Linked DNA regions of Oryctolagus cuniculus. The protein of the gene in region 1 binds, or shares a complex with, the protein of each later gene. Links are inferred from orthologs where the notes say so. Each region holds a gene or a part of one and is shown on either strand. Other genes may lie near its edges.

What was found. Proteins that work in one complex are often made in the same cells at the same time.
Region 2: the proteins of CTSK (region 1) and CST3 are in contact, whole or in part, in a crystal structure (PDB 8V57), measured with the Mus musculus proteins. The link is inferred for Oryctolagus cuniculus from reciprocal best matches to the Homo sapiens genes CTSK and CST3. Residues at the interface, in NP_031828.2 of Mus musculus: Asn132, Gln133, Gly134, Gln135, Cys136, Gly137, Cys139, Trp140, Glu173, Asn174, Tyr175, Cys177, Gly178, Gly179, Gly180, Tyr181, Met182, Ser248, Ala251, Ser252, Gln257, Phe258, Val274, Asn275, His276, Ala277, Ser297, Trp298, Ser301, Trp302; in NP_034106.2 of Mus musculus: Pro27, Arg28, Met29, Leu30, Gly31, Ala32, Pro33, Gln75, Leu76, Val77, Ala78, Val80, Asn81, Tyr122, Pro125, Trp126, Lys127, Thr133.

Annotation. Positions count from the first base shown.
Region 1 is NC_091438.1:47,266,392-47,270,491, reverse strand, and holds the start of CTSK (cathepsin K precursor), read right to left. Parts: upstream 2,834-4,100; 5' UTR 2,811-2,833; intron 2,472-2,810; exon of another isoform or gene 1,807-2,471; coding exon of another isoform or gene 1,775-1,806; intron 1,369-1,774; coding exon of another isoform or gene 1,368-1,368; coding exon 1,248-1,367; intron 79-1,247; coding exon 1-78. UniProt on the Homo sapiens protein: Thiol protease involved in osteoclastic bone resorption and may participate partially in the disorder of bone remodeling. Displays potent endoprotease activity against fibrinogen at acid pH. May play an important role in extracellular matrix degradation.
Region 2 is NC_091442.1:47,820,449-47,824,627, reverse strand, and holds the start of CST3 (cystatin-C precursor), read left to right. Parts: upstream 1-1,356; 5' UTR 1,357-1,377; coding exon 1,378-1,626; intron 1,627-3,538; coding exon 3,539-3,652; intron 3,653-4,179. UniProt on the Homo sapiens protein: As an inhibitor of cysteine proteinases, this protein is thought to serve an important physiological role as a local regulator of this enzyme activity.

The sequences.
Region 1 (4,100 bases):
AAGAGAGGCTTCAAGGTTATGGATAGAAATATGCTTCAGGTTTTTTTCCCAAATTAAACGCCGAGAGATTTCATCCACCTAAACAGAGCATAGTCAGTACTTGCATAGACTGTGTGCAAAATGACATAGGTAATACTGTGCAGGTTTTTAGGAGGAAAGCTGAAACTTACAATTATAGATTTTACAATCAAGTTTGGGAACTAACCATGGATTATTATGATCAGGCAAAAAGAAAGATGTAAACTAACACAAATAATGCAACATAAACATCTGGAAAGACATAGAGAAACTGCTTATTTATTAATAGTACTCATTTGAGAAGACTTTCCCAAAGAGAAACACAAGATAGCTTTTTTTTTTTTTTTTTTTGGAAAGGCAGAGATAGAAAGGGGAGGGAGGGAGGGAGGGAAAGAAAGGGAAAGGGCAAGGGAGGGAGGGAGGGAGACCAAAGAGAGAAGAGAGAAAAGAGAGAATGAGAATGAGAATGAATATGAATCTTCCATCCACTGGTTCGCTCCCCAGATGGCTGCAACAACCAGGGCTGGGCCAAGCTGAAACCAGGAGCCAGGAGCTTCTTCCAGGTCTCCCATGTGGATGCAGAGACCCAAGCACTTGGGCCATCTTCTGCTGCTTTCCCAAGCTTATTAGCAGGTAGTTGGGTTGTTAAGTGGGATGCCAGCATCACAGGTGGAGGCTTATCCTGCTATACTACACTGGCCCCAGAAGGACAGGTCTTGGTTTCAGTGAGTTGAGGCACAGCAATGAAAACCATATGCTGTTACAGAACAGGGATAAGGTTGCTTAGTTGGAGTAAAGTACTTTTGTATGGAAGAAGCAAGACTGGAGATCTTTTTTTTTTTTTTTTTCCTGACAGGCAGAGTGGACAGTGAGAGAGAGACAGAGAGAAAGGTCTTCCTTTGCCGTTAGTTCACCCTCCAATGGCCGCCATGCTGCGGCCGGTGCACCGCGCTGATCCGAAGGCAGGAGCCAGGTGCTTCTCCTGGTCTCCCATGCAGGTACAGGGCCCAAGCACTTGGGCCATCCTCCACTGCACTCCCGGGCCACAGCAGAGAGCTGGCCTGGAAGAGGGGCAACCGGGACAGAATCCAGCACCCCGACCGGGACTAGAACCCGGTGTGCCGGCGCCGCAGGTGGAGGATTAGCCTGGTGAGCCGCGGCACCGGCCAAAGACTGGAGATCTCAAGTCCCAGCCCATCTGCCATGCTCCCCTCCAGGTCCCCAGGCACCTTGCTGTTATACTGCTTGCTGTAGGTCTTCTTCCATAGCTCCCACTGGGTGTCCAGTATTTCCTCAGGGTGCAGAGCAAAACTCACCACGGGTAGCAGCAGAACCTTGAGTCCCCACATCCTGAGGAAAGGTGGTAATTAGCTTACCTTGCTTGGCATCAGGAAAACAGCTGGAGTGGTATTCCCAGAAAGGGGCTAGGAGTCATAGCCTCCTTTGAGGAGCTAATATATTAGTCTCTCTTACTTGAAAAATCCATGTCCAAACAATAATCCTAGAGGATACATGAACTCAAAGTTAAGAACCCTTTCCTCTGAATCACAAAACAGAGGGAAACTTGCCTTTGTGAGGACAGCAGAAAACTAAAGGTGATTTTCATACGCTAAAACAAAAAACAGGCGAGCACTAGATTTGTCTGGAATGCTGGCACATTTGGTTCCAAGTATTTTGACCAAGGAGATTCAACTAGCGCCCACACACTTGTACAATCAGACATGAGGTAGCAACTGGACAATCAGGATGGGCTCACCATCTGTCTCTTTTGGGGTCCTCAGCAGGCATGGACACAGACAAGGTGGGAGTGGGGTTAGAGAATACACAAAGGAGACATTCCCAGCTGTTTGCTTCCTGATCAATTTTCGAGACATTCTTTTCTTTTTTGTCTAGATCTTGCCAGGAAAGGCGAAAGGAAATTAACAGTACAAGGAATCTTCAAGAAGTTCACAGAAAATGTGGTTTGTGAAAAAACCCTATGTGGTTCTTAATTTTGCACCAAAATAAACATGCATTTCTCCTTGAACATTTTAAAGTTCCCTGTATTTCCTATTATCCATGTTTACCATCTCTTCACTCTCTATGTACGCCTTTCTTCCTCTTTTTTCATGCTTCCCCTTCCTTAGGCAGGAAGCGGTCTTAATTTCAACCAGATGCTGTCAATAGCAAAGTTTTAGCAAAGTTTCATTTCTGTTTCCAGCAATAAAAAACCTCTGTGACTGGCTGATAAAACAAAAAGCCTCAGGACCAAGGTTTGTTAGAATGTAGCGTGGAAAAGCAATGTTATATATTGAATAAATTCACAGCTTCTCAGAAGCGGATTCATCTCCTGCATCGGACTGCTTGTCTGCAGCAAGTCACAGGACTTGCACAATTCTGAGTCTATAGTCCATTTTTGTGCAATCTTTGCAGACTTGCAAAACACAGCGGAACTTGGGAGATGCCTCAGAGTAGAAAGCACTGAGCTATCACTTTCAGACACTCCTCCTCCCCCCCAATCCTCCAAGTTAACTCTTTTGCTCCCCTGGCCAAAGCAGAAAACTGTATGAGGCTACTTCTGAAGGTCACGCCATCAATTCTATTTTCAACCATGTTCACATACATACAATCGTACAAGGAACGTTACGATTTCTAGGCACATTTGGCCAGGAAAGGATTCAAAGGCATCTATTTTCATCTGCAGCACCTAGTGAGTTTATTTTTATTCCCCAACTCACTAAATTCAAATACTTGTAAAACAAAGAACTAGCAAGGAAGAGAGGCTACAGGATCTAAAAAGTTGAAAATCTTACCTGCTGATGGCTGTGTATGGTTCCTTTCAGCCAGGAAGTGTGCGTAATGTGGGTGGATGACTAGGGGTGCTAGATTTATTCCATCAAGATTGCGGAAGTCAGCTCTAGCAGTCGGCTGGAAATTTTGGATAACGGAGGGAGGCGGGGATAGAAATGCTGAGAAGGGGTGTTAAGAAGGAAGGAGACAGCGGGTTTGCACAGCATTTGTGTTTGTGTGCGTGCAGTGTTATATATGTACCAGGCTGGAGAGTTGCTAAGTATTTAGTTTCGCATGACTGTCTTTGGAGCAGACAGAAAAAAAAAAAAAAAAAAGACCATGACACTCATTAACCAAGCTGGAACTTACCTTCTTCTCTGGTGGGGAAATACAAGGAGTTAGGAAAATGGAAGGACACAGCTTTGTTCTCTCCCATCCTTCTTCTTTAACATCCATTATTGAGGGATTATAATCTTTTCCTAGTATTTTCCTTGTATGATCCACCTCCATAACATTTGATTTGACTCTCTCACTTCTGGGTTAAAGGAATTAAATGTAACAGGCTAGGAAAGGGTAACATAAGGAAAGCCATAGCTTCCAAAATTGTAATTTCTAAGTTGGTGAAAAGCTGTCATCACTTCCAGGCAGGAGACTAGCTTTCCTAGCCTAATATGGTTTTCGTGAGGGAGGAAATGCCCAGAAAATCCAGATGAAACTGGTTCTAAAAGTAACCAAAGCCAACATTCCTGGTTTATGACAGCACTAGAATCAATGCCCTAACTTACGATGGATTCATGTGACTGACGGTATTGCTATAACTCTCAGATGTTGGGAAGCCTGGCGAACATTATGTCTCCATTATTAAAATCTCCAATCTAAGTCCAGTCACATGAGTGTCTCCAAATGCTTCCCCAGCAAAAAAACATGTGACACATCATAAGAATCTAACTCAGTCACCAAATCACACCCCTATTTCCTTCCATAAACAGTTATGAAGAAACAGGAAAAAAAGGTCACTGGAATAGAAAAGATATTTCATAGGATTTGGATTCAGTCTCTAGCTGGATTCCACACAGAGACTCTAAAGAACACAGGTTTAAACTCTAGATTTTAAGAGTTGCTAATAAACCACAGTGGTCCTTAGAGGGAAATCAGCTCTAGACCTGAACAAATTTCCCCATCACTAACTCCTTTAAATCCAGAACAGGACGTAACCAAGGACTTTAAGGCATCAATTATGCACCCTAGTGGTTTCAAGTTCCAACTATACCCTCCCTCTCTCCCAAGAGCCTTGGTAACTCCCACCCCCAACC
Region 2 (4,179 bases), on another chromosome or scaffold:
CTCAAGGTGATTTTTTTCAAAATCAGGCTGGGTTGGCAATGGGGAACAGCGGGTTAAGCCACCACCTGCAGCACCACCAGTATCCCACATCACACTGCGAGGTTGAAGTCTCCGATGCTCTGCTTCCGATCCTGGCCCCTGCAAATGCGCCTGGGAAAGCAGCGGCAGATGGACAACGTGCTTGGGCCACTGCCACTCATGTGGGAGACCCAGAGAGAGTTCCAGGCTTCGGCCTGGTCCAGCCCTGGCTATTGCAACTGTTCGGAGCATGAACCAGCAGATGGAAGATTCTCTTTCTCTCTCTCTGTCTCCTTCTCTCTCTAACTCTTACCTTTCAAGTAAAAATAAATACATAAATATAATTAAATAAAAATAACAAATAAAACCAGGTGAAGTTTTCCCAGGAGTAAGCAGAAGCCCTGAGCCAGCAGTGTTGCTCCCTGAAAATGGGGGGGGGGGGGGGGGGGACAAAGGGGTCCCAGGTGGGGCAACATTCCTTCCCCAGCCCGCTAGGGGCTCCCCACTAAGGGTGCTGTCCACACAGCCAGCACGGAGAGCTTCCGGAGCACATCGGGTCCCCGTTTAACCAGCCCACTTGGCCCTTCCAAGAACTCGGCACCAGCGGTGGCCCCTGCACAGAGCTTTGCTCCCCTGGTCTAGCCTGGGCTTCGTGTCCTCTTGGGTCTCAAGGCGACCTCCAGGCCCTGTGTGTCCCGGGATAGCCATCTCTCTGCCACAGCACCTCTGACCTCTGACCCCTGCCCCTCCCCTAAAGCTGGGCTGTTGGCCACCAGCACCTTGTGGCCACCACGCACCCCAAACGACACCGGCCCGAACGGCACCTGCTCCAAATGAAAAAAGACAAAGCCAGACTGTGAAATATTATTTAGTAGATTAGCCTACATAGTATTAACGAAAAGTTTCCTCCTTTTAAAACCGCGCCCACTCGCAGACGCACAAAAATACATCCTCCGGGAGCACCCCGAGGAGCCCCAGGCCCTCGGCTGGCTGCGCGGCCCGGCGCCCTGAACCCAGAACCAAGGCCCATTTTCTCCTGCTGCGGCCGGCTCACGAGTTCCCCAAAACGCGGCGCAGACTCGATTTCCCCGAGGGCTTCCTCGGCGCTCACGGACGCCCCCCGCCCCGACCTCCGCGGGCCCAGGCCGCCACCCTGCCCTCGCCCGAGGCAGCGGGACTCAGGGTCCAGAGCCCGGTTTCGGGCGCCCGGCGCCCCAGGGGCGGGCCGCGCGGAGGGCGGGGCAGGGCCCGGAAGAGGCGGGCCGGGGGCGGGTCCTTGCGGGGCGAGCCAATAAAAGCACGAACGCCGGCACTCGGGCGCAGTCTTGCTCGTGGCTGCTCAGTCTTTGTGCACGCACTATGGCGAGGTCCCTGGGTGTTCCGTTGCTGCTGCTGGCCGCCCTGGTTGTGGCCCTCGCCCTGGCCGTGAGCCCCGCGGCCGGCGCCAGGACGAGGCAGTCGCCGCGCCTGCTGGGCGGCCTGGAGGACGTCGACGCCCAAGAGAAGGACGTGCAGCGCGCCCTGGGCTTCGCGGAGAGCGAGTACAACAAGGGCAGCAACGACAGGTACCACAGCCGCGCGCTGCAGGTGGTGCGCGCTCGCAGGCAGGTGTGTGCCGGGGCGGGCCGGGCTGGGTTGGGGGCCCGGGGATCCGGCCGCGCCCTGGCCGGTGAGTCCCCGGGCGGGCGGGCGGCCTGGAATCCCACCGGACCAGCTGACCGTGTTTGGCGCCTTAGTCATGGGTCCCAGCGCCGGCCTGCTGGAGGCGCCGCAGGGGTCAGGGTCTGGGTGCGTCTGTCTGTGGGTCCCTGTCCCGCGCAGCCCCGGACCCCAGCCTCTTGGGCACCGGGAGCACAGTGGGAGCTGTTCATTAAAGGGCCGTGAGTGGAGTAGAACAAACGGACGGAGCCCGTAGCCCGCCGAGCTTCTGAACACTTCTTTTTGCCTTCTGAACCTGACATAGTTTCCAGTTCACGGAACAGAGGGTGGCAAAGATGCTACAGAGCGTTCTCCAAGAACCCTTCTCCAGCATCCCTCCAACTTCTCAGCGCACCCCTTCCTCTCCCTAACATGCAAGCTTGTTTATGCCTCCGTGTGCTGTGCGTTTCCGGAAAGCAAGCGCTTTCTCTTACCTCCCTAACGCGCGCTTTTGAAAATCAGCCGTCAGCTTGCATGCGCTGAATTGTAATAATGCACAGACCCGGCTGCTGTCGCCATTCTTCCCCTCCCCCCACCTCCACTGCCCAGCTTCCCCAGGCTCAGTGCTGTACGGTCCAGGTCCTAACTCTGATCTGGAGCAGATCCTCAGGCTGTCAACATGAGAGCGGCATCCGTGAGAGGGACTGGGACTTGTTGGTCCGTGATGGGCCAGTGCGTATTTGGCAGCCTCCCTATCGTGTTGTGTCATCTCTGAGGATCACACAGTAGCACGCCTCTCAGACCCCACCCTCTGCTAAGCTGCACATGCCATGACCTGTCCGGGTTAAGCTGATGTTTCCTCCAGGGTACACACCAGTGGTGAGGTGATCCTGCCCCGGGAGTCCTCCTCGGCACAGGCCACTCAGCGGGGCTTTCCTTCCCCTGGGAGAAGCCCTGGGGACTGGTGTCACCACACTGGCCCCTGGCACTACCTGGGCTGTGCTGCTGCAGCAGGTGTGAGGTCAGGCCTCTGGCCAGCAACGGGGTAGGGGCAGCAGGCAGGAGCATCAGCCAGGGCTGAAGCCTGGAACTGGACCTGAGGCCAGAGAGCCGGGCCACTTGGCACCAGCTGAGCGGGGCACACGCTCAGGTCACAGCTCACATCTGCCTTCCCTTGGGAGTTCGGCTGAGTCACGGGCCTGGGCCATGTCTCAGAGGAGTCAGCTAATGTTGGGGCCCTGAGGCTTGTAGCGGGTCCCTGCAGTCCCACGTCTCCTCCAGGGGGACACCGGCTTGGAGTGAGGTGCTGTAGGCCACCTTGGGTCGTGGGTCCATTTTACAGATGGGAAAACCGTCGTCCGAGGGATCCCAGGGCAAGGTCTGAGGCCCTGGCTCCCCCACTCCCAGATCCCTCATCCTGTGCATCCCAAAGCCACTCTGTAACCACCTGCCTGCCTAAAACACAGCGCCCGCTGCCTCCTGCCCTGCCCACAGTTAGTGGGACTTCAGGAACCCTGTCCCTGCAGAGCCCTGCTTTACAGCAGGCCCTTGCCCTGTGCTCCCAGTACATGGAACTGTTTGCCTGCCCCTGGCTGGCTCCCCGGAGCTGTGCCTCATGTTCCTGGAGCTGGCTAAGACATATTTATAGTCCCTGGCTTCCCTCTTACGTTTCCTCTTAATCGCTCCGCCCAGCTGCAGGAGACACCCTATTGGGAGCTGCCTGGACTCAAAGGAGTTGCCAGGGCCTGGGTGTGGCCTGGGAGGGGGAGGCAGCTCCTGTGGCCTTGTGGGTGGCAGTTCTGGCAGCCCAGCAACAACAGCAGAGTGATTGCATGTGTGAAAGTGAAGGGCGTGCTGACTCTTGCTCCTTGCACCCTCCCAGATCGTAAGTGGCGTGAAATACTACTTGGATGTGCTGATAGGCCGGACCACGTGCACTAAGACGCAGACCAACTTGGCCAACTGTCCTTTCCACGACCAGCCGGACCTGCAGAGGGTATGTGCCTGATGGAGGCAGAGGGGAGGGTGTGTGTGTGCGTGTGCAAGCCTGTGCATGTGTGGGGAGAGGTAGCCAGGGGTCCGGGATTCATACGTAGACACACACCGGTGTGAGTTTTGTGTATGTGTGCATGTGGAGAGCAGTAGGGCTGTATGTACCCATGATTAACCTGAATTGCTAAGATAAGGGGGTCTAGCCTGGGCATGGGGGTTTATGGGGAGGGCAGCACGGCTTGCTTTTGGAGGTTGCACCTGCTGGACAAGGATCAGCAGCTGCAGGAGGAGCTGCCTGGAAACGGGGAGAGGGGAGGGGCTCTGTTTAGTCCCAGCCTTGGCCGCCTGCCCCATTGCCCACAGCCCTGCTGAACAGATCAGATGGAATTAGAGGCTTAGGAGTGTCTAGAGCCTTCCAAGACTGCCCCCACTCACTCCACCACCAGCTTCTCCATGGATAGGGCCAGCTCTCGCGAGGTTGCTGCTGTGGAGAGAGCCACTATCCCCTAGTCACTGGCTTCCGCCCTCTGG